Linked DNA regions of Saccharomyces cerevisiae S288C. The protein of the gene in region 1 binds, or shares a complex with, the protein of each later gene. Each region holds a gene or a part of one and is shown in the gene's direction. Other genes may lie near its edges. The genes, in order: CTF4, SLD5, PSF2 and CDC45.

Region 1 (7,121 bases):
GAGACCCATCAGGTAAGGGTTCCAACCATATTCTGACACTTTGAAGTAAGTTATTATCCAAAATGGTGTCTGCCAAGTTTGCCTTTGACAGTACGCTTACCACCTTCGGCAACAATTTGACCTTCTGCATGGCAATCAGCGAAGTATCTCCAGTTTCTATTCTCTTATTTAAAGTATCGATGTCCAACTGTGCTGCAATATTCATTTCGTCTTTAAGCCTTAGAATTTTTTCATCCAAGTACTGTTCTAAATCGTCTTCATCCCTCCTCGTTCTTCTAACCTTTGGTTTTTTCAATATACGGTCCAGTTTTTCTTCCAATTCCTGTCTACTACTTGGAGTAGCACTTGAATCTCTATCTTTACTAGCCCTATTTTCCACCGTTGGTTGAAGACTCTGATCATTATGCTCCTCCTTTTCTAGGTCGTCATCTGAGAAATCTGTGCTAATGTGCTTACGTTTCCTTTCTGCAGCTTCTACGTTACTATTTTCGTCTATTGCGGCTTCCTCGTTCTTTTCTCCGTTATCTGGGTCTTTAGTATCATTGGAGGTACCTTTTGAAGTTTCTTGGGGTTCCATACTTTGATTTTGTTTTGTATTTTCATTCTCAGCGTTTATAGTTGACTTTTGGGAGGAAGCTGTCCCATCTTCTGGTGTCGCTTCCACCACTTTGGGTTGTTCTTGATCGGCTGTACTCATTGCTAATTGATATGTTTTTGCCTTTTATTACTAAAAGTTCCTCTATATATACTTCAGAGGACAATAAACTCCCTTGATATGGCCTGCATATACTTTACAAGTGCTATCAAACAAAGATGCTGGGCAATGAAGCTGACAGTTAACTCTTCCAAAACTTCCCTTCAAAGAAATTGTGAGAGAAAAAAACCTTCTTGTTACCCTTCTTTGGAAGAATACCGCACATCATAAAATCAAGAAATGAATTCGAAAGTTTACTCTTTCTTTCTAGAGGCGTTACACCAATATTAGCGAATTGCAGTTTCCCACAAAAGGCGTCCATTGGCATCAAATAACTAGATAGTATAAAATGTTTGGTCTACCTCAACAGGAAGTCTCCGAAGAGGAGAAAAGAGCTCATCAAGAACAAACTGAGAAAACCTTGAAACAGGCCGCTTATGTGGCTGCGTTTCTTTGGGTTTCCCCAATGATCTGGCATTTGGTGAAAAAGCAATGGAAATAATTCCCCACTGAAGAAAAAAGATTGCATCTATGAATGACACTAAAATATGTTTCTCTTTTTGTATTTGCTTTTGATTAAATAATGGTCAATTTGCGCCCCCCACCTTATATAGTTTAGAGAAAGACGTGTAAATATTTTTTAAAAAATTGATACTGCTCTAATGAGCCTAAATCTCCTTTCTTCGCTTGTATATATGCGTATTCTGTATGTTTGTCCAGGCAGATTTTTCGGCTTTTTTTACCAGCTTTTATTATTAAAATGTGATAACCTTAATTGAAGGTTGCGATACAAAATAATCCTTTATTACGCATAACCAAGGAAAAGAGAAAATCAGTGCACATATGGGTTTACCTGAAGTTAACTTTCTTCGAAAAAACTGCATACTTGTGGAGTTAAAATTATTCTATCAAACAGTATACCCACCGAAGGAACTATATTGGAATAACCGAATAACTGCAGAATTGAGTACATTCTCCAATATTAAGTATGCAAGGCCGACTTTCGCAGTAAATAATGGCACATTTCAGAGAACAAGACCGAAATTAGACTTGGTACTGGCTTCATCTGATATTCGTAAGCTGGCTACGGTTTTATTTAATTTAAAAGCTCTCATAATGAATACGAAGGGTGAGGAACCCACTCTAACCACGATGACTAGTGTCCAAACGAACGAAGAGAAAAATGATAACCTGGAACAGAAATATTCAAGTCTGCTAGATAGATGGAATGGGAAAGTAGAAGTGCATGATTCTCCTTTCCTTCAACTCCAACGGGACAGCAACCTTTTGTTTGCTGAGAGGCCGGTACGTTACGTTAGCACTACAGAAGGTGAAGGCGTGGACATATCTAGTGAAGAGTTTTTCAGGTTAGAGGAAGAACAGTGCCGAAGGAATTATGATGTTTTGGTCGATGAACATTCTACACCATCAGTCGGGATGAAAGACGGCCAATACGGACCAAATATAATTCACTTTGAACCGTCGCTGTACCACACATATTCTTCTCTACCAATGAGTATGAAATTTTGGTTAAATGGTCTAGAAGACGACGAAACGACGATGATGAACATTGATGAGAAGTCAGCCGAAAATCTGGATATATTATTACATGGTTTCAAAGGATTTTCGAACAAGCGCGTTAAAGGATGAATTAATCATCCTCTTCATGTACTACTTATGTCCAATTTGAGTGTAAAATCACAGGTACAAGGCTTATCCATATTCGTATATATCTTCATAATGTTTCATAATTGCTTCAGAAAATTATTCAAAACGTCTTGTGATATTCATTAGGTGAAATCGTAGTTTGCCTGATACTTGAAAGAATCTCACCTGGAGAATGGGTGTTTTCACTAAGATTCGTTAATTTCCACTAATGATTAATTGTTAACTGTTTAACGCGACGCGTAATAAAGTTTCCTGAATACGCCAACATATGGGAACATATAGATTAAATTAATAAGAAAGCTTGGGAAAAATAATTGAGAAGGGCAAGAAGTGACGTAAATATACTAGACGTACTATTATGGTTTCAGTTATAGACAAGCTTGTTTTTGACTTTGGTGGGAAAACTCTGGTCTCTCTCGCACCAGATAATAATACTTTGTGTGTAGCCAATAAAAATGGCTTAACCAAGATTCTGAAGACAAATAACCCAGAAGAAGAGCCAGAGACTTTAGATTCTTCCAAATTGGTCTCGTCTATAAAATGCTATTCAAACTCGCACTTTCTGATGACTACAATGCAAGGTGATGCTCTTAGGTATAACATCGATTCTAGTCAAGAAGAATTATTGGCTAGATTTGCTTTACCCCTACGTGACTGCTGTGTTATTCATTCAGGTAAAATGGCCGTATTTGGAGGAGACGACTTAGAACTAATCCTTTTGGAATTGGACGATGAAACACACAAAAAACATGCCATTAAAATCGATGAACAAGTTTCTCAAATTTCTTACAATTCACAGATGAATATTTTAGCAGTTTCAATGATAAATGGTAAGGTACAAATTTTTTCTCTGACATCTACTATTCCAAACAAAGTTCATGAGTTAAATGATTACATAGTGGCCAATTCATATGATGATACACACAGAGATAAGATACTCTCGAATATGATGGATGATATAGATAAAGACAATGATAATGACCTGAGTGAAACGGCTGATCCAGATGAGAACAATGTAGCTGATCCAGAATTCTGTGCTGCTAATAGAATTTGCACGAGAGTGGCTTGGCATCCGAAGGGTCTGCATTTTGCGCTACCATGTGCAGATGATACAGTAAAAATATTCTCTATAAAGGGATATTCCCTACAAAAGACGTTGTCCACAAATCTCTCATCAACAAAGGCTCATTTCATTGATTTGCAATTTGACCCGTTACGTGGAACTTACATTGCGGCAGTAGATTTAAATAATAAGTTAACGGTATGGAATTGGGAAACTTCCGAGATCCACTACACCAGGGAATTCAAAAGAAAAATTACTAATATTGCCTGGAAAATCCAAGCGGACTCAAAAACTCTAGACCTTGTTTTAGGTACCTGGTCCGGTAGTATAGCCATTGTCCAAAATTTGGCAGAGTCCGTAGTATCTAATATACCTGACCAATCTGTTGCTGAATCTTCAACTAAACATGGGCTTTTTGTAGACTCCGAATCTGACTTGGAAAACTTAGAGGGAAATGATGATATAAACAAAAGCGATAAGCTATTTTCAGATATTACTCAAGAAGCGAATGCGGAAGATGTGTTCACTCAAACACACGACGGCCCCAGTGGATTAAGTGAAAAGAGAAAATACAACTTCGAAGATGAAGAAGACTTTATTGATGATGACGATGGTGCTGGTTATATTAGTGGCAAAAAACCACATAATGAACATTCTTATTCGAGAGTACACAAGACTCATTCGTTTCCAATCAGTTTGGCAAACACAGGAAAATTTCGTTATATGCCTTTTTCTCCAGCGGGAACACCTTTTGGCTTTACTGACAGGCGTTATTTGACAATGAATGAAGTGGGCTACGTATCTACTGTCAAGAATAGTGAGCAATACAGCATAACTGTCTCTTTTTTTGATGTTGGACGTTTTAGAGAATACCATTTCGAGGACTTATTTGGCTACGATTTATGCTTCCTAAATGAAAAAGGCACTTTATTTGGCCAATCCAAAACTGGGCAGATACAATATAGGCCACACGATAGCATACATTCAAACTGGACCAAGATTATTCCTTTGCAAGCTGGTGAGAGAATAACAAGTGTGGCAGCCACCCCGGTTCGCGTTATTGTTGGTACATCATTAGGCTATTTCAGAAGTTTCAATCAATTCGGGGTTCCATTTGCTGTTGAAAAGACATCCCCAATTGTAGCGCTTACTGCTCAGAATTATAGGGTTTTTTCAGTACATTATTCGCAGTTTCATGGCCTTTCATACTCTTTATCTGAATTGGGTACTTCTAGTAAAAGGTACTATAAAAGAGAGTGTCCACTTCCAATGAGTTTACCAAACATTAATTCTGATATGAAAAAAGACGCAAATCTTGACTACTACAATTTTAATCCGATGGGCATCAAAAGTTTGTTCTTTTCAAGCTACGGAGATCCATGCATTTTTGGGTCCGACAACACGCTTCTATTGTTATCAAAGTGGAGATCACCAGAAGAAAGTAAATGGCTCCCTATTCTAGATAGCAACATGGAAATATGGAAGATGTCAGGAGGGAAGGAAACGACAGATATACATGTCTGGCCCTTGGCTTTGGCGTATGACACATTGAATTGTATCTTAGTTAAGGGCAAGCATATATGGCCCGAGTTTCCCCTTCCGTTGCCATCCGAAATGGAGATTAGAATGCCAGTATTTGTTAAGAGTAAATTACTAGAGGAAAACAAAGCTATATTAAATAAAAAGAACGAAATTGGAGCTGACACCGAAGCGGAAGAAGGGGAAGAAGACAAAGAAATACAGATTCCTGTTTCTATGGCGGCGGAAGAAGAGTATCTGCGCAGCAAGGTTTTGTCAGAGCTGTTGACAGATACACTCGAAAATGACGGTGAAATGTACGGCAACGAAAATGAGGTATTGGCAGCATTGAACGGTGCATATGATAAGGCTTTGTTACGTTTATTTGCGTCTGCATGCTCAGACCAAAATGTTGAAAAGGCTCTTTCGCTTGCTCATGAATTAAAACAAGATAGAGCACTTACTGCAGCCGTTAAGATATCAGAAAGAGCTGAGCTGCCCTCTCTCGTTAAAAAAATTAATAATATAAGGGAAGCTAGATATGAACAGCAATTGAAATAAAAAAATGTAAAATATATATACGCAAGAGACAATTATTTGATACCTGTTCATTTGTTCAAATCATCGTTCAAAATGCTCCCACATTAACATATATTTCTTTGAATGCGACGATAATAAAGAGTTACGTTGAACATGATCTGAGCTGGAAGCGTCCTTGCGAATTTTCGCGAAAGGAAAAAGTGAAAAAATATGAAAAAAAAAAAAAGAGATGACATTTTATAGATGAGCTTTGATTAAACAGTGTAACACCTGGTCCTGTACCGTAAATATTCAAATAAGCATCAATTCAAAGTTCTTTATTTCTTCTTTAGCATTTCAAAATTATAGAAAATCTAGAAAAGATGTCAGATGTTACCCAACAGAAAAAGAGGAAAAGATCCAAAGGAGAAGTTAATCCATCAAAACCCACAGTAGACGAAGAAATCACAGATCCATCCTCAAACGAAGATGAACAACTAGAAGTTTCGGATGAAGAAGACGCATTGGAATCTGAAGAAGAATTCGAGGGTGAAAATCCAGCCGATAAAAGAAGGAGGCTTGCAAAGCAATATCTGGAGAATCTGAAAAGCGAAGCTAATGACATTTTAACTGATAATAGGAACGCTGAAGAAAAAGATTTAAACAATCTCAAGGAAAGAACAATCGACGAGTACAACAATTTTGATGCTGGAGATTTGGATAAGGATATCATTGCGTCCAGGTTAAAAGAAGACGTTGCTGAACAGCAAGGCCGAGTCTTCAGATATTTTGGCGATAAACTTCTAATATCTGAAGCAAAACAGAGCTTTACCAGGGTAGGGGAAAATAACCTTACTTGCATTAGTTGTTTCCAACCCGTTTTAAACAAATACACCTTCGAGGAATCATCTAATGGCGATAAGAACAAAGGTAGGTTATTTGCCTATACAGTTAGCAAAGACTTACAACTCACCAAATATGACATTACTGACTTTAGCAAAAGACCAAAGAAGCTAAAATACGCTAAAGGAGGAGCAAAATATATACCTACGAGCAAGCACGAATATGAGAATACCACAGAAGGCCATTATGACGAAATCTTAACTGTAGCAGCCTCACCAGATGGTAAATATGTTGTCACAGGTGGAAGAGATAGGAAGTTAATTGTATGGAGCACAGAATCTCTATCACCCGTTAAAGTTATTCCAACAAAGGATCGCCGAGGGGAAGTTTTATCGTTGGCTTTTAGAAAAAATTCTGATCAGTTATATGCATCCTGCGCAGATTTTAAGATAAGAACATATTCAATAAATCAATTTTCCCAGTTGGAGATTCTTTATGGGCATCATGATATAGTGGAAGATATATCTGCGTTGGCGATGGAAAGGTGTGTTACCGTTGGTGCCCGTGATAGAACAGCTATGCTTTGGAAGATTCCTGACGAGACCAGACTAACATTTAGAGGTGGCGATGAACCTCAAAAGCTACTAAGGAGATGGATGAAAGAAAACGCTAAGGAGGGAGAAGATGGAGAAGTCAAATATCCTGATGAATCAGAGGCACCTTTATTTTTCTGCGAGGGTAGTATTGACGTTGTGAGTATGGTGGATGATTTTCACTTTATAACAGGCTCCGATAATGGTAATATATGTCTATGGT
Region 2 (5,144 bases), on another chromosome or scaffold:
TGTTCGTCATCGTTAACCAATTCGCCAATAACAGCGACGGGACTTAGTCCACTTAGTTTACACAAATCGACACCGGCCTCAGTGTGGCCTCTTCTCTGCAAAACACCGCCATCAGCGGCTCTCAAGGGACAGATGTGCCCTGGTTTTAAAAATGATTTTGGCGTAGAGGAAGAGTCTGCAAGAGCCCTACAAGTCATCGACCTGTCGTGAGCAGAAATACCTGTGGTAGTGCCTTGGGCTACATCTACAGTTATTGTGTATGCAGTTCCATGCCTGTCGTCATCATTGGATTCAAACTTCATGCCTGTTCTCAGTAGTGGAAGGTCCAACTTATCAGCAATGGCATTCGTCATAGGTGCACAGACGTAGCCTGAGGAATGGCGTACAAGAAAGGCCATTTGTTCAGTGCTGACATTTTCAGCAGCGCAAATAAGATCACCTTCATTTTCACGACCGGCATCGTCCATAACAATTACAAACTTATTCTGCTTGAAGTGTTCTATAGCTTGATCAATTGGTGTAAACATTTTCGACGTTGCCTTTTCTTCTTTTCCTTTCCTTTTTTTTAGCCTTCTGCTTTTTGTTGGAGATATTTACATTCACCTCACATATATACGCCAATGAAAATTTCACAATAGCACGTATATTAATAATAGCCTTGCTTTTTTTTATCAATTCTCGCTAAGAAATTACTCATCAGGCAATAACCTATGCTCACCCGCCTCGAAGCGGCGTTAGGAGATAACAGTGGCCGTGTAGAGGGACGTCTTAGCATCGAAAGCCCAATTTACAACAACGAGGCGACCATCTGCACACCACACTTGACACCGTAGAGTGCGACTATTTTCCCCTCCATTGTTTTTTTCGAGCCAGCGTGCACGTAGTACGGGCCCCCCTAACAACAATGGCGCCCCTATGATAGCTTTCCCTGCTCGCGCGTCCCACAGCCGCACCGTCCAGTCCGTGGAACATGATAATAGAAGCATTAGCCGCCGAGCATCGTCCCAATGAAACTCTAACCCGGTTACCCTCGTAGAGTGGTTTTCTGCAGGTTGGAACCCATTGTTGTCCAAAGAGAGGTACAGCGGCCCAGGTTGGTCCCAGAAAACCTTGTATATACCACCGTCTTCGCCACCGATCCAGACGTACTGCGGGTCCTCACTCGTGTACGCCATGCAAGCTATACCTACCTCATCAAACTTTGCCAACCGCTGCAATCGCTCCGTATATGTGCAAGTATCATTCTCCAAAGATAAAAGCTGTGATAGCGGTACAGGACGGAGCTGCTGTGGCTTCCGCAAAACAGTCAAGTCCAGGCAGCTCAACTCCATAATATTGCCATTATCAGCTGCCACAAGTACTCTCTCTTGATCTTGCACGCTGCTTGTTTCAATTACAGCCACCACTGGGTGCTGAAAGTAGTGTCTTGCCACCATATTTCGCTGCACGACATACACTACCGGTGTTTCTGGCTTTTTCTGTTTCAATCTAAGCTCGTACAATATGATCTTGCCCGTCAAGGTCGCCAACAAGATTGATATTACATTGCTTTCCGGATGATACCGACGGAGGATCGTGGCTGTCATGATCCGCGTACCACGGAACTCTACCATATCTATCAAGAGGCCGTTGCGTCCGCTGGCATTATCGCACTTGACTACATTCACCACAGACCACGCCGCTTCGCTGCTAGCATACTGTAGGTCTGCCGGCGGCAATCGTAGATAAACCACAACCAAGACGCCTTTTCCTGGGTCATACTCCTGAGCGATACAATCGCAGTCTGTCTCTGATTGTAAATTCTCACTGACCATGTTCCATTGCATGAGGTTGTCTTTATCCTGTTGCATGTTCGATGGCGCCTGCTGGCCTGACGCAGAAACCTCTGTCTCCAGCCGCGCAAAACTAGCGTTGCTCAGCGTTGCCGCCGCCTCTTCAACAAGAAAAGGTTTGGCTAGTTCTAACCTTGGCTGGTCGTTTTCAGCTTTGTCTTTATTATTTTCGTCGGCAGCAGTAGTTTCAATGGCGACAGCATCAGTAGTGGTGTGATTTTCATTTTCTTGCAGTTGTTCTTCCTCAATTTGATCTGTTTGAATGCCTTTGTCGTATGTTATAACCTCCTTACGTCGAAGATATGCAGATTGGGGCTCTTGAATCTTTGAGCCTTCCTCCATGTCGGTCTGCACTGAAACGCTGACCATGGTTGCCTTAGCGTGCACCTCTGTGGGATGGTGGCCCATCGTCTCGCTCCCAGGGAACAAGCTGGCTTGTTTTCGCCTCTCACGCAGCTCTTTCAATTGTCTCCTTTTTTCCTCCAGTTGCTTCAATCGCTCCATCTTAATGTTTCAATCCTTCTTCCTCTTTGGTTGATTAACCAACTGTGATGCTCTTTTTTCCCTTTTCTCTTTGTTTACGGCAAAACACGAAAACTAGTTCATTTCTTTTTCTTTTCGCCTTGGACTAGTACTGAAAATTTCAATAGCATTATATTTGAGCCATAGGTAAGAAAAACCAAATTTGTTAGTATTGGGAAGGAGAATAAGATACCTGACTCGGTGATGGACATTAACATAGACGATATTCTTGCAGAACTGGATAAGGAAACTACTGCTGTCGACTCTACCAAGATCACGCAAGGTTCTTCTTCCACTACCCACAGAGATGCAAATACAATAGTGGGTTCGTCCTTAGACTTGAATGACAAGACTCAGATATATGTCTCTCCCCAGCAGGATTTTTCTGACTTGATGAAGTCTTGGAAAAATGAACGGTGTTCGCCAGAACTCTTACCATATCCTCATCAGTTGATGAAAAGATTATTGAATCGAATATCCATGCAATCTCAATTAATTGAAAACATTTCAATGGGATTCCTCGATATGCAAAATGCTTCTAATGCGAACCCGCCTATGCCTAACGAATCTAAATTGCCTTTACTCTGCATGGAAACTGAGTTAGAAAGATTGAAATTTGTTATTAGAAGCTACATACGATGTAGGCTAAGCAAAATTGACAAATTCTCACTTTATTTGCGCCAATTAAATGAAGATGAAAATTCGCTGATCTCTCTTACAGATTTACTATCCAAAGATGAAATCAAATACCATGACACGCATTCCCTGATCTGGTTGAAACTAGTCAATGATTCTATCCTGAAATACATGCCCGAAGAACTTCAGGCTATTAATGATACAGAAGGTAGCGTAAACATGATAGATGAGCCCGACTGGAACAAATTTGTCTTTATACACGTTAACGGCCCACCAGATGGTAAATGGAACGAAGATCCGCTATTGCAGGAAAACGAGTTCGGTAAACCTTGCTACACGGTCACAATACCCGATTTAAAGGAAGAGGTTGAACTCACTATTGGAAGTATTTACGTTATGAGATATGAAGTCATTAGGGATCTGCTGAGAGACGACAAAGTTGCTCTTATTTGAACTATTATGCATTACACTTTCCCCTTCACCATGTCTTACATATGCATATATATATATTATCAAGCACAGTTTCATTTTTCATCTGTCCGTGTCATGTTTTTCCGCATTTGTGTCGATCTTGCCAGCAATTTTGAGTAATTAGATGACGATCGGGTCTGCAACGAAGTGGGACGTTTTGTGTGAAGTGCGCCTTCTTCGGGTGTCTTTAAGATGCAACGGTCCGGTAAACCATTTATTAGCCTATTCGATTGAGGTACGGGAGGAGCTTGATTCTTTTTTTTTGTATTCTGTCTTTTTTGAAGAATGAACTTATCAAACATTTTATGGTCCGACTTCGGCGATACTACTTTAGGTTTGGCGGTCATTCCATTATGTATTAATTTCCATAGTTTCATTAAAACTGCTCTCTCTTTGCATCCTATGAAAATCGTCCTGGAACCGTCAATTTCAAGGACTTGATCACTTATAAAGCGTATCTTCTCAACGTCATTCAACTCTAGTTCGAATTGCAATTCAAATTCCTGTTCTTCCCACATGCTGAGACTTCTTCTCTTGACAAAAACAAGTGCTCTGCCTAGGTTTGTTATTAGAAACATTTTCTTGTAAAATTTGCCTGCACTATCAGTAGGAGGCTCGATATCAAGAGGGTTCTTGTAGTCCAGAGCCACGTTCTCAAGACCTACAGGTGAGTCCTCTAAGTTTCGTGTGGAAAGCGCTACCTCCTTCATCAACAAGACACGTTCATCCATATTTTGCAAGTAGCGTGACCAGAAGGCGTCAGAAGAGCGACTTCTATTATCTTTCCCCCGTGATGTAGTAGAAATTGAAGGAGATGATACAGATGCGCGATTTTTTGAAACCTTCTTTTGAATTACCTCGCGATCTGTGTTGTTGGAGGCAGATCTAACAGATGTGCTTGACTTGCTCCCCAATTTGGGTTGACTTGTATAATCTTTATTGAATGCGGCGGTTGCTGCAGTCATACTGATCACAGAATGCTCTTGAGAGGTCGCTGCTGGTGCTTGCAGGGGAGTATCTGCATGTCCATTACCAGCCAGCTGAAGGTTGGCCATTTTGACAGTGGTATCAGATTCAGAAACCTTTTGCAGGGGCTTCATCGCCTCTGCATTTATTTTATATGGCTGTATCTCCGGTGGATTATCATCCCAAACAGAACCATCTTCAAAGTTGACTTCATGGAAAAAGAGGTGTGCTTTGATCTGCTTTATGGTCAATCTATCATTTGGATCCCTAACTAATAGTTTTTTAACTAAATCTTTTACTATTTGCGGAAAACCTGCAGTAAACGCATATTGAATCTTCATTACTTTTTGGAATGTCAAATATTCATTGGCAGCTTTAAAAGGCGGTTTTCCCGCAAGCATTTGGTACAATATGCAACCAAATGCCCAAATGTCACAACGGGAATCTGTATAATTATCATTCAGTAGCTCAGGAGAAACATATTCTGCGGTACCAACAAATGATTTCGACTTAGCATACAAATCGAAATAAGGCTTGCCATCTGCGGTGTTCGAAGGTTCCTCCGGTAAAATTTTGGCTGTACCAAAATCCGTCAACTTCACTTTCATATTTTTGTCGAGCAATATGTTTTCGGGCTTGATATCCCTGTGAATAATGCCGATATTATGCAAGGAGTCAACGGCATCGATGATCTGCGACGCATAATAGCGTGCACAT
Region 3 (4,784 bases), on another chromosome or scaffold:
ATTTCTTTATCATCAAAATCGATTCTTTACAATAGTTCATACACGCTAGAACCTCTCATTGAAGAATACAGTGTAGCAGCAAGTATTTACTTGCTGAACCCAACAGATTTGTGCGAGTTGTCGAGAACAAGTGTGCTATCTAGTGGCTATGAAGGTTGGTACAAGGCTCATTGGATTGGCGTTGGAGTTAAAAAGGCGCCTTACTTTGAGGAGAACGTGGGTGGGATAGATAATTGGTACGATACAGCGAAAGATACCTCGATAAAGCACAACGTTCCGATGATTAGAAGAAGATATAGAAAGGAGACATTGGATCAAGAGTGGAACTTCGTTCGGGATCACTTTGGAGTAATTAACTCCATTTGGTAGGGTAAAGTGAAATATCAACAACTTTGCATAGTAAGATATATATATTTATATAGATACCTTAAAAACTGAAAATGAAAACTTGAAAGTTAAGGAGGAGGAGAATGCGTCTTTGTTTCATGAAATATTTTTTTCATTTTCCCAACTTGGCTTGATGTCCCTGACAGACCTCATGAATTCTCTTAAACGTTTCTTGTCACGTAGTGCCCTCTTAGCGTATTGAGGGTTACCGTAGTAAAATAGTTTAAATTGGCTTTGCTTTTCATCACAGTGTTCGGGGTCTAAGTCAATCGACAAATCTAGCACAGCAACGCTACGTTGAAAATACCACTTGTTCACCACATTGTCTTTTCTGCTTCTCCAAAGTATCTCATTAGGAAATTTTTTGAACATCAAATTGAAGATTATATCAGATATACCCAGCGAGCCTTTCAAGTGTGGTAGAACGGCGAACTTATCGAGATAAACAAAGGAATTTTCCTCCGAGCCTTCATAGGTAAGAATTGCAATGCCTTCATAATCACCTATCACAATAATTGTAGCTATTTTTCCATTAATCCTTTTTATGTAGTCATGCAAATCCAAAGATCTTTTAAAGCTCTGATCGATGATGGATTTAAATTTGTTGATATCTAGTTTTGGACTATTGCTCGAGGGTTTTGCTCCTTTCTCAGGTACGTGAAACTTCTTTGGAAGCCCAATTGAGTTGAATTGAGTCAGCGTCTTATAGTCATAAGTTTTGATATGGACGCCCTTTTTGAGAACAGTTGTCACTAAAACTGCATCTGAGTTAGAAGGAGCTGCATTTACCTGTTGGGAAGGCAATTCATACCATGCGTGATCATCAAACATGTTGGCTGGTGAGTCTATCTCGCCGTCCTTTTTTTTAAACCTTGGTAAAGAAGAAGAAATTAGCGATCGGTCTGTCAATAAATTATATACTAAAGGATTTTTCCTATCTGATGATAGTGCGGCAGCTTTGACAGTTGTAATCAGTCCCGTTGCTGTAGCCGCTAGATTTGATAAAACTTTGTCCATCAATAACAGGTTTTCTAAATGATCATGGTATTCACATTCTAAGGAAGATATCTCATCTTTTTTAACGTACACCTCCATTCTGTGTAACAGGTTTTGGGAGCGTGGCTCTCGTTTGGTTAGAGTGCTTATATTGTGAGATAATGACGAGGACAAATGCTCGAGTTCCTGAGAAAGATTGATGAATACATGAGCGTTATCATTTCTCTCTCCCGAAGGTATACCTCCGGCATTATTTAGAATGAAGAATTTGTCAATGTGTGGAATATTCCCTTGGCACAGGCAATCCATAAATTTTACAACATCCTTTGTCATGAATTCTGAAGCAGTCTCTTCATTATACACATAAGGTTTCACAATTGGTATAAAATTGGAATTTCCAATATCAAAGAAACGACTCTCTTGCGAAAAAACAGAATGATATAACCCAGTGCGGGATTTAGTAAGACCCTCCTTAAGGTGAAGTGGCTTTAAATCTGCTTCTGTAACGATACTGTCAAGTAACTCTGCCTGTATATTTACATGAGTTGGCGACGGCGGAATTACAAACATAGGTCGCAAACCTAGCATTCCTAGTCTCTTTATGACACTTGAAAACTGGGACAAAATCGCTGGTGCGACTTTATGCAGGTCCCTGATAAAAAACAAACAATGATTATGCTGCCCACTATCATTTGTATATTTTGAGAGATAATCCTTAGCCTCTCGTTTTGTAGCGGTTGTATTCAGAACTGAAAGGATCAAGTTTTTTGAAGATGCATTGGGTTGATCATACTTGAGTTCATGCGCGAATATTCTCCTCCACATGATAAAAGTAACCGACTAGTGTCCTAGATTGACGGTCCTAGCTTCAAATGTGTTAACTTTCACAATTTATGTCGAACGTGCTTATGACTCCATGGGAAGATCAGTGATGACTAACCTTTTTTTTCTCCAGCGTGAAATTTCTTGTGATATTTTCCATTTAATGAAAAATCAGTCGCCTAAAGTGTAACTATGAAATGGTTAACAAAAAAGAGTTTTATACTTAGAGAGGATCAACGGCTGATCTGAAATAAGACTAGTTTCATAGACGCATGTCACTACCGGCACATTTGCAGCAGACTTTCTCACCAGAAGAAATACAGTTCATTGTGGAAAACGAGCCAATAAAGATTTTTCCCAGAATAACAACACGCCAAAAAATTCGTGGCGATGATAGAGGAACTGGAAACCACACCCGCTGGCAACTTATTACTACAGATGACAAAGCTTTAAATAATATGGTAGCCATGCGTTCTACAGAAGTGGTTCTTTGGATCGCTCTATTACTGAAGCAACAATCCAAGTGCAGTATTGTAGCACCACAGTGGTTAACGACGAAAGAGCTTGATAGAAAAATACAATATGAGAAAACTCATCCGGATAGGTTTAGTGAGTTGCCGTGGAACTGGCTTGTCTTGGCACGTATACTTTTCAATAAAGCTAAGGATGATTTTCATGACCCCATTCACGAATTACGTGGTAAAATACAAGACTTAAGGGAAATAAGGCAGATCAAAGTGTTAAAAGGCCTTAAGTATTTGAATGAATCTCATTTACAATTGGATAATTTAAGTCTATTAGAAATCAATGAGTTGAGGCCGTTCATTACTGAAATCATGGATAAACTGCGAGAAATTCACACAGCATCTCTTACCGCTGGTACTGAAAATGATGAAGAAGAATTCAATATTTAAAAAAGTGCTGGCTTTGCAATAATTAGAACTTTCAGTGATATGCGTATGTATATATATGTACTTGTTGTGGTATCCTAGTTAATGGGCATAGAATGTATTTCATCAAAGCCCAAAATTCATTTTAAAGCCATTTCCGAATGGGAAGCCACTTCCTGGATTTTTGAACATGTTATTTTGCCTAGGCCCCTGAGGAAAAGTGTTGCGGCGGGGGTTTGATCTGGAAAGATCGTATTCCTTCCTTTTATCGTCATCACTTAATGTTTCGTACGCTTCATTGATTTGTGACATAGTTTCGTGAATTGATTCTTGTTTGTCGTTATGGTTGGCCTTTATTTTGTCTGGGTGGTATTTTTTGGTTAAATTTAAATATGCTTTCCTTATTTCTTTCGAACTAGCACTAGGCGATACTCCAAGAATTTTATAATAGTCCTTTTTTGGGTCGTAGTTAGGCGCTGCTGGGGGTGCTTGATGTCGTTGGTGTTGTTGCTGCTGTTGTTGTTGTTGGAAATATTGCTGGTTGAAATTCCGATGTTTATGCTCTTTATAGGTTTGTAATTGTTTCTGTAATAATCGGAAGTTCTTCATCACGTATGGATTGGTCGACTCTGAGAGGCCGTTATCTTGGAAAAATTTGTTTATCTGGTCATATAATTGCTTTTTGAACTGTGAATGAGGTTTAGACCTACTTTTATTAAGTATTGAGTTTACCATATACATCAGCAAATGAGGATTGGAATTCCATACATCACTCAATACCGTCTCAGGTAAAGGTTTTTGCTCGGACTTAGCATCCTGATAGTGTTTCCATGTTTCTAGTGTTAGTGAATGCCTCAAACTCTTTTTACAGAACGGCGCAGCCAGTTTAGCTCTCTTGACGTCCGGACTCATGCTAGAAGCCTGACAAAGAATGGAATCAATGTATACTAGATAATCGGTATGATAGTATGATTTTGGTTTGACAAAACCATCGGTTATTGGGGGATCTTCGAATAAATTTTTTGCCAAAGGTCTCGACAGTTGAACGTCTTCTATCAATTGTTTGATAATTTCCTCTAAAAAGAAGTAGTTGTTTTTAAAGTTTGTATCTTTGTTAAGAATTTTCATTGGTGTAATAAATGGCTTCTTATCCTTCAAATAAAATTCAATAATTCTATCCCAACTTCTAAACTTTTTGTTCTCAAATGCATATGTTGCTGGATCCAGGATCTGTCTTTTTGATGGATTCACCTTGTTCAATTTGGAAATAGTCAGGCTTAGTTTTTTACATTTATCATAGTCCATATCAATGGAAAGGCATTTTCTTATATTGAACGACGCATCTGAGTTAAGTACAAAGGTCTGTAAAACAGATATGACATAATGAATCGAAAGTCTTGTATCTATGCTTAAGCTAGCCAAATGCTTGTCGAGGATTGTTTCGTAATCCAAAATGATAGCAGCAGCTAACGAAACGTCAATTTCTTCAGCTAGTTTGTGAAAAAGAACATCGATGTGCGTGGAGAGGACGTTAACATCGTACGGCGTTATGCGTAGCAGCTCAGAAATATCTTCCTCCACAGAAACGTCTTTGGATGATATTTTGTTTCTGATGGTTTCATTCAAGGACAGATATTTCGCATACTGATCATCCTTCTGATGCACCTTGTCCCACATCCCAAAATCGAC
Region 4 (6,256 bases), on another chromosome or scaffold:
CTTTGCATTTTCTGTTAGCAATCCTTTGTCAATTAGCCCTAAGAAATATTATTCCCATATGGGTAACCAACTCTCTTTTTTTTTTTTTTTGAAGGGATCAATACTTCAGTCAGATATTTAAAGAGAAAAATTTTCTTCAAGATGCAAGTTTCCCATTCAGTTCTATAGGAAGTTAAAACAAAAGAGCTGTTTGAGAGCTCGTAGGCTTTGGTTGTTAAGAGAACGGACTAAATAACACCAGGAGGTGTGTCTAGACTTAGTTGAACGAGTTTTTTCTCGTGCTATTATATCTGTTCTTAATACTTCCACTTTATTTTAATGATGATAGCATGATTTATGTTGCTCGAAGTTAATCGATGTGAGCACAATGATTTCTCAAGACTACAACGGTATCTGAATTTTATTTCTTGTCAAAAATGTTTTATAGAAGCCACTCTTGCTATAGATTTATATTGCCACACATAACTTTTTCACGTAAATTTGAAAGAGCTATATTAGCTGGTGCTTTCACTAACATCTCTTTGCTCTAGTATTTCATTTCGGTGCATAAAACATTTGAACTTCCATCGAAATTCAATATGCTAAAACGTTTCATTGTAACACGACGCTGAAAAGACAATAAGTACGAAGGACTCAAGAAGGAGCATGTCTAAAGGGAGGGTCAATCAGAAGCGTTACAAGTATCCTCTTCCAATTCACCCCGTAGATGACCTTCCAGAGTTAATCCTTCATAATCCGTTATCTTGGCTATATTGGGCATACCGCTATTACAAGAGTACGAACGCACTGAACGATAAAGTACATGTAGATTTTATAGGAGATACCACTCTTCACATCACGGTTCAAGATGACAAGCAAATGCTATATCTTTGGAATAATGGATTTTTTGGCACTGGTCAATTTAGCAGGAGTGAGCCTACATGGAAAGCTAGAACAGAGGCCAGACTGGGTCTCAATGATACTCCCCTCCACAATCGGGGAGGAACAAAGAGTAATACTGAAACGGAGATGACTTTAGAGAAGGTCACACAACAGAGGAGATTACAAAGATTAGAGTTCAAGAAAGAACGTGCGAAGTTAGAAAGAGAATTACTAGAATTAAGAAAAAAAGGTGGTCATATCGATGAGGAAAACATCCTCCTTGAGAAACAACGAGAATCATTAAGAAAATTTAAACTAAAACAAACAGAAGACGTGGGCATCGTTGCACAACAGCAAGACATTTCCGAATCAAATTTAAGAGATGAAGACAACAATCTTCTTGATGAGAACGGTGATCTTTTGCCACTAGAGTCACTAGAACTAATGCCAGTGGAAGCTATGTTTTTAACTTTTGCACTTCCTGTTCTTGACATATCTCCCGCGTGCCTGGCAGGGAAACTGTTTCAATTCGATGCCAAATATAAAGATATTCACTCCTTTGTCAGATCATACGTTATATACCATCACTACAGATCACACGGTTGGTGCGTAAGATCTGGTATAAAATTCGGCTGCGATTATTTATTATATAAGAGAGGGCCACCATTTCAACACGCTGAATTTTGTGTTATGGGTCTTGACCACGACGTCTCTAAAGATTATACGTGGTATTCTAGCATAGCCCGTGTTGTGGGCGGCGCAAAGAAGACGTTTGTGTTATGCTACGTGGAGAGACTAATCTCGGAACAGGAGGCGATAGCACTATGGAAATCAAACAACTTTACTAAATTGTTCAATAGTTTTCAAGTTGGTGAAGTATTGTATAAGAGATGGGTTCCCGGAAGAAATAGAGACTAGAATATCAATGAGAAGATAAATCCTTCGTATGTATATATGTATGTGTATGTATTTTTTATACAGATTTCAATGGTTTTTGTAAGCATCTGATACCCATCCACAATCCCTAAACCCCTTGTTCTTTGCTTTGGGGCCCTTGACAGGGTCATCATATATTGCTCTAAACTTTTCATTGTGTGTGGCTGGTTTGGATATGCAAACAAATTTATTATCAGGAAGGACACATTTCAACTGAGATTTAGGGAAGGGACAAGGACAGTCTTTCTGCTGTGCAACGCACGTTAGGGTGTCCGGACACAAATACCCATCACAAGGGTTATTTAAAACTTGATCTTCATATGATTGTTGCTGTTGCTGTTGCTGTTGCTGATGATGACCGAAATTGAAGAAGGCATTCACTCCAGTGCTGCCAAAAATAAACAATGCAAAGATGAGAACGATACTCCAGCGACTTTGACTCATACTACAGTAAAATTTGGTCGTTTTTTGCCTGGCAAACCATGCCTATTTTTCGTCATTAAAGGTCTTCTGAGCTTTCATCAAAATTATCTCTATAATTATAAAGGACAGCTCAGAGCCACACCCAAACATCTGCAAAGGTAAAGGCCATCTTTCATCTCACATTGCCTAACAAGAAAGTCACATTGCAATTGTTTCGAGAAGAAAACATTAATTCAATTACGTGGTTCCCATGCGTCTGTGTTAAGCGTCAATTTATCATTTGACGAACTCGTTGCAACCACAAACAAAGCAAGGGCCGCATTTATCAAAGGAAAACCAACCAAAAGCATAAATAAACGAGATTTTTATTATGAAAAAGCCATGCGAATCCTACTAGAATAAATTCAAAGTGAAGACATTTAGTCAATTCGATCTTCTCTCTCTTGCTTTAACTAGTCGTAAAACCTAATAAGTTTCATTCACGACGCGTATTTTTTTTTCAACATATCATCTAACGCGTTTTAAGAAATTTCAGTAAATAATGAAGCTGTAGTAATGCCAACAATCCATTGTGGCTACTTTATACAACGCACTATAGAGCAATAAAAGTGTAGCAATAAACACTAGAGAGAAGGCACATAATAACAAGAATATACTCTCGCACATGTATTATGGAATCAGCCAGTTTAGCGAAGCCTACAACAAAATCTTAAGGAATTCATCGTCTCATTCATCATGTCAATTGGTCATTTTCGTTTCTTGTCTTAACATCGATGCGCTGTGTGCGACGAAGATGTTGTCACTATTATTCAAAAAACAATTGGTACAATCTCAAATAGTACCGATATTTGGGTACTCTGAATTACGACGCCACTATTCTCAATTGGATGACAATATAAATAGTCTGCTATTAGTAGGGTTTGGAGGCGTTATTGATCTGGAGGCTTTCTTAGAAATCGATCCCCAAGAGTATGTTATCGATACAGATGAAAAGTCGGGGGAACAAAGTTTCAGGAGAGACATCTACGTGTTGGATGCTCATAGACCGTGGAATCTCGACAATATATTTGGATCACAAATCATCCAATGTTTTGACGACGGTACGGTGGATGACACATTAGGCGAACAAAAAGAAGCATACTATAAATTGCTTGAACTGGACGAGGAGAGTGGTGACGATGAGCTCTCAGGTGACGAGAACGATAATAATGGGGGTGACGATGAGGCAACTGATGCCGATGAAGTCACAGACGAGGACGAAGAAGACGAAGATGAGACAATATCTAATAAAAGAGGTAATTCTTCAATAGGACCGAATGATCTCTCAAAAAGAAAGCAACGAAAGAAGCAAATCCATGAATATGAAGGTGTTTTGGAGGAATACTATTCTCAAGGCACAACAGTGGTTAACTCGATATCTGCACAAATCTATTCATTATTGTCTGCTATCGGAGAAACAAATCTTTCAAACCTGTGGTTGAATATACTTGGTACGACCTCGTTAGATATAGCATATGCTCAAGTTTACAATCGATTATACCCCTTATTGCAAGATGAAGTGAAGCGTCTCACACCAAGCAGTAGAAACTCAGTAAAGACCCCTGATACATTGACGTTAAACATCCAACCGGATTACTACCTTTTCTTACTGAGGCATTCTTCATTGTACGACAGTTTTTATTATTCTAACTATGTCAATGCCAAACTATCCCTATGGAATGAAAATGGGAAAAAGAGATTGCATAAGATGTTTGCTAGAATGGGTATACCATTAAGTACTGCACAAGAAACATGGTTATACATGGATCATTCTATTAAGAGAGAACTTGGGATAATATTTGACAAAAATTTGGATCGTTATGGGTTGCAAGATATAATTAGAGATGGGTTTGTTAGAACTCTTGGATATCGTGGGTCCATAAGTGCCAGTGAATTTGTCGAAGCACTAACAGCTCTTTTGGAAGTAGGTAATTCAACTGATAAGGATAGTGTGAAAATAAATAATGACAATAATGACGATACAGATGGAGAGGAAGAAGAAGATAACAGCGCTCAAAAATTGACGAATTTGAGAAAAAGATGGGTTTCGAATTTTTGGCTCAGTTGGGATGCTCTAGATGACAGAAAGGTGGAACTATTAAACCGTGGCATTCAACTAGCACAAGACTTACAGAGAGCAATTTTTAATACCGGGGTTGCTATATTGGAGAAGAAATTAATCAAGCATTTAAGAATTTATAGATTATGCGTCTTACAAGACGGACCCGATTTAGACTTGTACAGAAACCCATTGACGTTATTAAGATTAGGAAATTGGCTCATAGAATGCTGTGCGGAATCTGAAGACAAGCAATTGTTGCCCATGGTGCTTGCCAGCATAGATGAAAATACGGACACTTACTTGGTTGCTGGGTTAACACCTAGGTATCCTCGCGGACTAGACACGATACACACAAAAAAACCTATTTTGAATAATTTCAGCATGGCGTTTCAACAAATAACTGCAGAAACGGATGCTAAAGTGAGAATAGATAATTTTGAAAGTTCCATAATTGAAATACGTCGTGAAGATCTTTCACCATTCCTGGAGAAGCTGACCTTGAGTGGATTGTTATAATCAAATTTATATTATTTAGTCGTACATATATACCAGCATATGAATATAAAATCTAAGCTTTTTCAAGCTTTTAAGTCCAACTTTTCTATAATAATACCATATTTTGTGCGCGGCTCTTGACAAAACAAAAAAAAAAACCTAAATAAAAGGAAATTAAGAACAGGGAACTAGGTTTGGAAGGACAAATTCAGGAAGGAAAGAAATAGCTGTGACAAAGTAAGATGAACCAAAATGGTGATAAGAACGAAGGCAAGTTGTTTCAACTACCGTCATTGCCGCCCTGGAAAACACCAAGGTTCAACAAAGCCAACTTTAACAATTTTACCACACCGCTACGGAAAAGGTCGACAAGGGTAATAAATGATGATTCGATGCCCATAACAGGCGAAGTACTAGAGGAGAGGACTGCAGATGATCTCTATGGGATAAATATGGACGTAGACGAAGTCGACTATCTGAATACTTTGAGCCACATCGAGGAAGAAAAGCAATACGATTATTCACCGTTTTGTGAGCGCAATACGCTAAGGGAAAGTAGAATTGACAGTTTTTTGAAAGCCGAAAGGGCAGCACATTGTCTTGTGTTTCATAAGGTGGGCCATCTAGACGGCATAGACAGCTATCGACCCGATATTGACATCATGTGCGGCGAAGAGGCTAATAAATATGACAGTGCGAATCCGGAGGGCAATGGTTCAATGTTGTTAGAGAGTGTACCTGGATGCAACAAAGAAGACCTGGAGAGGTTATCAAGGCGAGAATTTGTAACAAATTCGAAACCTAATATGAGACGGTTGGATGACATAATAAATCATGAAACGAACGCCTTAAAAAGTTTCTGGAACGACTCAGGATTAGTCAATTCACTCCAAAGTCATCATTTGCATGAAGAGTACCTTCTTTTGCAAGAAGAATTAAAGAATGTGTACAAGATTAAATGCCATGACAGAGTGCCAATAGAAAGTCTACGCGATAAGTGCAGAAGACACTATAGCAACGAGGATAGTTCGTTTCTCTGACAGAGGCAATGCCTTTTTTGCTTCACGTGTATATATATCAGTTGATATGCGTTTTCTATACAGACATACATGTATATACACACATATATATATATACATATGTACGCAGAGATATATTAAATGGGGGTTCTAGTTTCAACAATTTGATCTTTCAGTTTCTCGTCCCATTCCAGTTTCTTCTTCTGTATATAAGCGAAGACATCAGACATTCCAGTAGGGTCTATTTCCTGCGTCTTGATATATGGCATACCATCCCTAGAGGTAGCAGAACCGTATTTTACGTCTTGTTTCTCAAAGTTTGGATTGGCCAATCTAGTTACGTATACTGGGGCATTGGCAGCTTTATAACCATCAATATTGTGCCATGGAGACCCCAACAGCCTGGCCAAATAGAACAAGC

Evidence for each region.
Region 2: the proteins of CTF4 (region 1) and SLD5 are in contact, whole or in part, in a crystal structure (PDB 4C95), measured with the Saccharomyces cerevisiae proteins. Residues at the interface, in NP_015461.1 of Saccharomyces cerevisiae: Lys864 (codon at 5,310), Leu867 (codon at 5,319), Arg868 (codon at 5,322), Ala871 (codon at 5,331), Ser875 (codon at 5,343), Arg893 (codon at 5,397), Ala894 (codon at 5,400), Ala897 (codon at 5,409), Lys900 (codon at 5,418), Ile901 (codon at 5,421), Arg904 (codon at 5,430), Ala905 (codon at 5,433); in NP_010777.3 of Saccharomyces cerevisiae: Ile3 (codon at 2,565), Asn4 (codon at 2,568), Ile5 (codon at 2,571), Asp6 (codon at 2,574), Asp7 (codon at 2,577), Ile8 (codon at 2,580), Leu9 (codon at 2,583), Glu11 (codon at 2,589), Leu12 (codon at 2,592), Asp13 (codon at 2,595), Glu15 (codon at 2,601).
Region 3: the proteins of CTF4 (region 1) and PSF2 are in contact, whole or in part, in a cryo-EM structure (PDB 6PTN), measured with the Saccharomyces cerevisiae proteins. Residues at the interface, in NP_015461.1 of Saccharomyces cerevisiae: Phe517 (codon at 4,269), Phe518 (codon at 4,272), Asp519 (codon at 4,275), Val520 (codon at 4,278), Gly521 (codon at 4,281), Arg522 (codon at 4,284), Leu745 (codon at 4,953), Ala746 (codon at 4,956), Ala748 (codon at 4,962), Asp750 (codon at 4,968), Thr751 (codon at 4,971), Asn753 (codon at 4,977), Cys754 (codon at 4,980), Leu756 (codon at 4,986), Leu768 (codon at 5,022), Pro769 (codon at 5,025), Leu770 (codon at 5,028), Pro771 (codon at 5,031), Ser772 (codon at 5,034), Glu773 (codon at 5,037), Tyr848 (codon at 5,262); in NP_012463.1 of Saccharomyces cerevisiae: Phe28 (codon at 2,559), Arg30 (codon at 2,565), Val64 (codon at 2,667), Ala65 (codon at 2,670), Met66 (codon at 2,673), Arg67 (codon at 2,676), Ser68 (codon at 2,679), Ser83 (codon at 2,724), Lys84 (codon at 2,727), Ile87 (codon at 2,736), Asp132 (codon at 2,871), Asp133 (codon at 2,874), Phe134 (codon at 2,877), His135 (codon at 2,880).
Region 4: the proteins of CTF4 (region 1) and CDC45 are in contact, whole or in part, in a cryo-EM structure (PDB 6PTO), measured with the Saccharomyces cerevisiae proteins. Residues at the interface, in NP_015461.1 of Saccharomyces cerevisiae: Thr489 (codon at 4,185), Arg491 (codon at 4,191), Val505 (codon at 4,233), Asn507 (codon at 4,239), Gln510 (codon at 4,248), Ser512 (codon at 4,254), Thr514 (codon at 4,260), Ser516 (codon at 4,266), Arg524 (codon at 4,290), Glu525 (codon at 4,293), Tyr526 (codon at 4,296), His527 (codon at 4,299), Phe528 (codon at 4,302), Glu529 (codon at 4,305), Ser561 (codon at 4,401), Phe766 (codon at 5,016), Pro767 (codon at 5,019); in NP_013204.1 of Saccharomyces cerevisiae: Ser9 (codon at 2,909), Gln52 (codon at 3,038), Tyr256 (codon at 3,650), Leu259 (codon at 3,659), Ser260 (codon at 3,662), Ile262 (codon at 3,668), Gly263 (codon at 3,671), Glu264 (codon at 3,674), Thr265 (codon at 3,677), Gln296 (codon at 3,770), Asp297 (codon at 3,773), Glu298 (codon at 3,776), Lys300 (codon at 3,782), Arg301 (codon at 3,785), Leu302 (codon at 3,788), Thr303 (codon at 3,791), Pro304 (codon at 3,794), Ser305 (codon at 3,797), Ser306 (codon at 3,800).

Annotation. Positions count from the first base shown.
Region 1 is NC_001148.4:796,514-803,634, forward strand, and holds CTF4 (chromatin-binding protein CTF4), read left to right. Parts: upstream 1-2,720; coding exon 2,721-5,504; downstream 5,505-7,121. Other genes in the region: transcription factor SPN1, read right to left, coding at 1-697; TOM5 (Tom5p), read left to right, coding at 1,044-1,196; MSS18 (Mss18p), read left to right, coding at 1,538-2,344; ribosomal RNA-processing protein RRP9, read left to right, coding at 5,846-7,121. UniProt on the Saccharomyces cerevisiae protein: Accessory factor for DNA replication. It plays a role in accurately duplicating the genome in vivo.
Region 2 is NC_001136.10:1,428,454-1,433,597, forward strand, and holds SLD5 (DNA replication protein SLD5), read left to right. Parts: upstream 1-2,558; coding exon 2,559-3,443; downstream 3,444-5,144. Other genes in the region: 3,4-dihydroxy-2-butanone-4-phosphate synthase RIB3, read right to left, coding at 1-527; PAC11 (dynein intermediate chain), read right to left, coding at 735-2,336; serine/threonine protein kinase PKH1, read right to left, coding at 3,515-5,144. UniProt on the Saccharomyces cerevisiae protein: Required for DNA replication. Functions as part of the GINS complex which plays an essential role in the initiation of DNA replication by binding to DNA replication origins and facilitating the assembly of the DNA replication machinery.
Region 3 is NC_001142.9:303,556-308,339, reverse strand, and holds PSF2 (DNA replication protein PSF2), read left to right. Parts: upstream 1-2,477; coding exon 2,478-3,119; downstream 3,120-4,784. Other genes in the region: YJL070C (metallo-dependent hydrolase superfamily protein), read left to right, coding at 1-369; ARG2 (acetyl-CoA:L-glutamate N-acetyltransferase), read right to left, coding at 484-2,208; JEM1 (Jem1p), read right to left, coding at 3,222-4,784. UniProt on the Saccharomyces cerevisiae protein: Functions as part of the GINS complex which plays an essential role in the initiation of DNA replication by binding to DNA replication origins and facilitating the assembly of the DNA replication machinery.
Region 4 is NC_001144.5:342,570-348,825, reverse strand, and holds CDC45 (DNA replication initiation factor CDC45), read left to right. Parts: upstream 1-2,884; coding exon 2,885-4,837; downstream 4,838-6,256. Other genes in the region: tRNA splicing endonuclease subunit SEN2, read left to right, coding at 646-1,779; LCL2 (Lcl2p), read right to left, coding at 1,846-2,241; APC9 (anaphase promoting complex subunit 9), read left to right, coding at 5,059-5,856; ERG27 (3-keto-steroid reductase), read right to left, coding at 5,973-6,256. UniProt on the Saccharomyces cerevisiae protein: Required for initiation of chromosomal DNA replication. Acts at the origin of replication. Also has a role in minichromosome maintenance.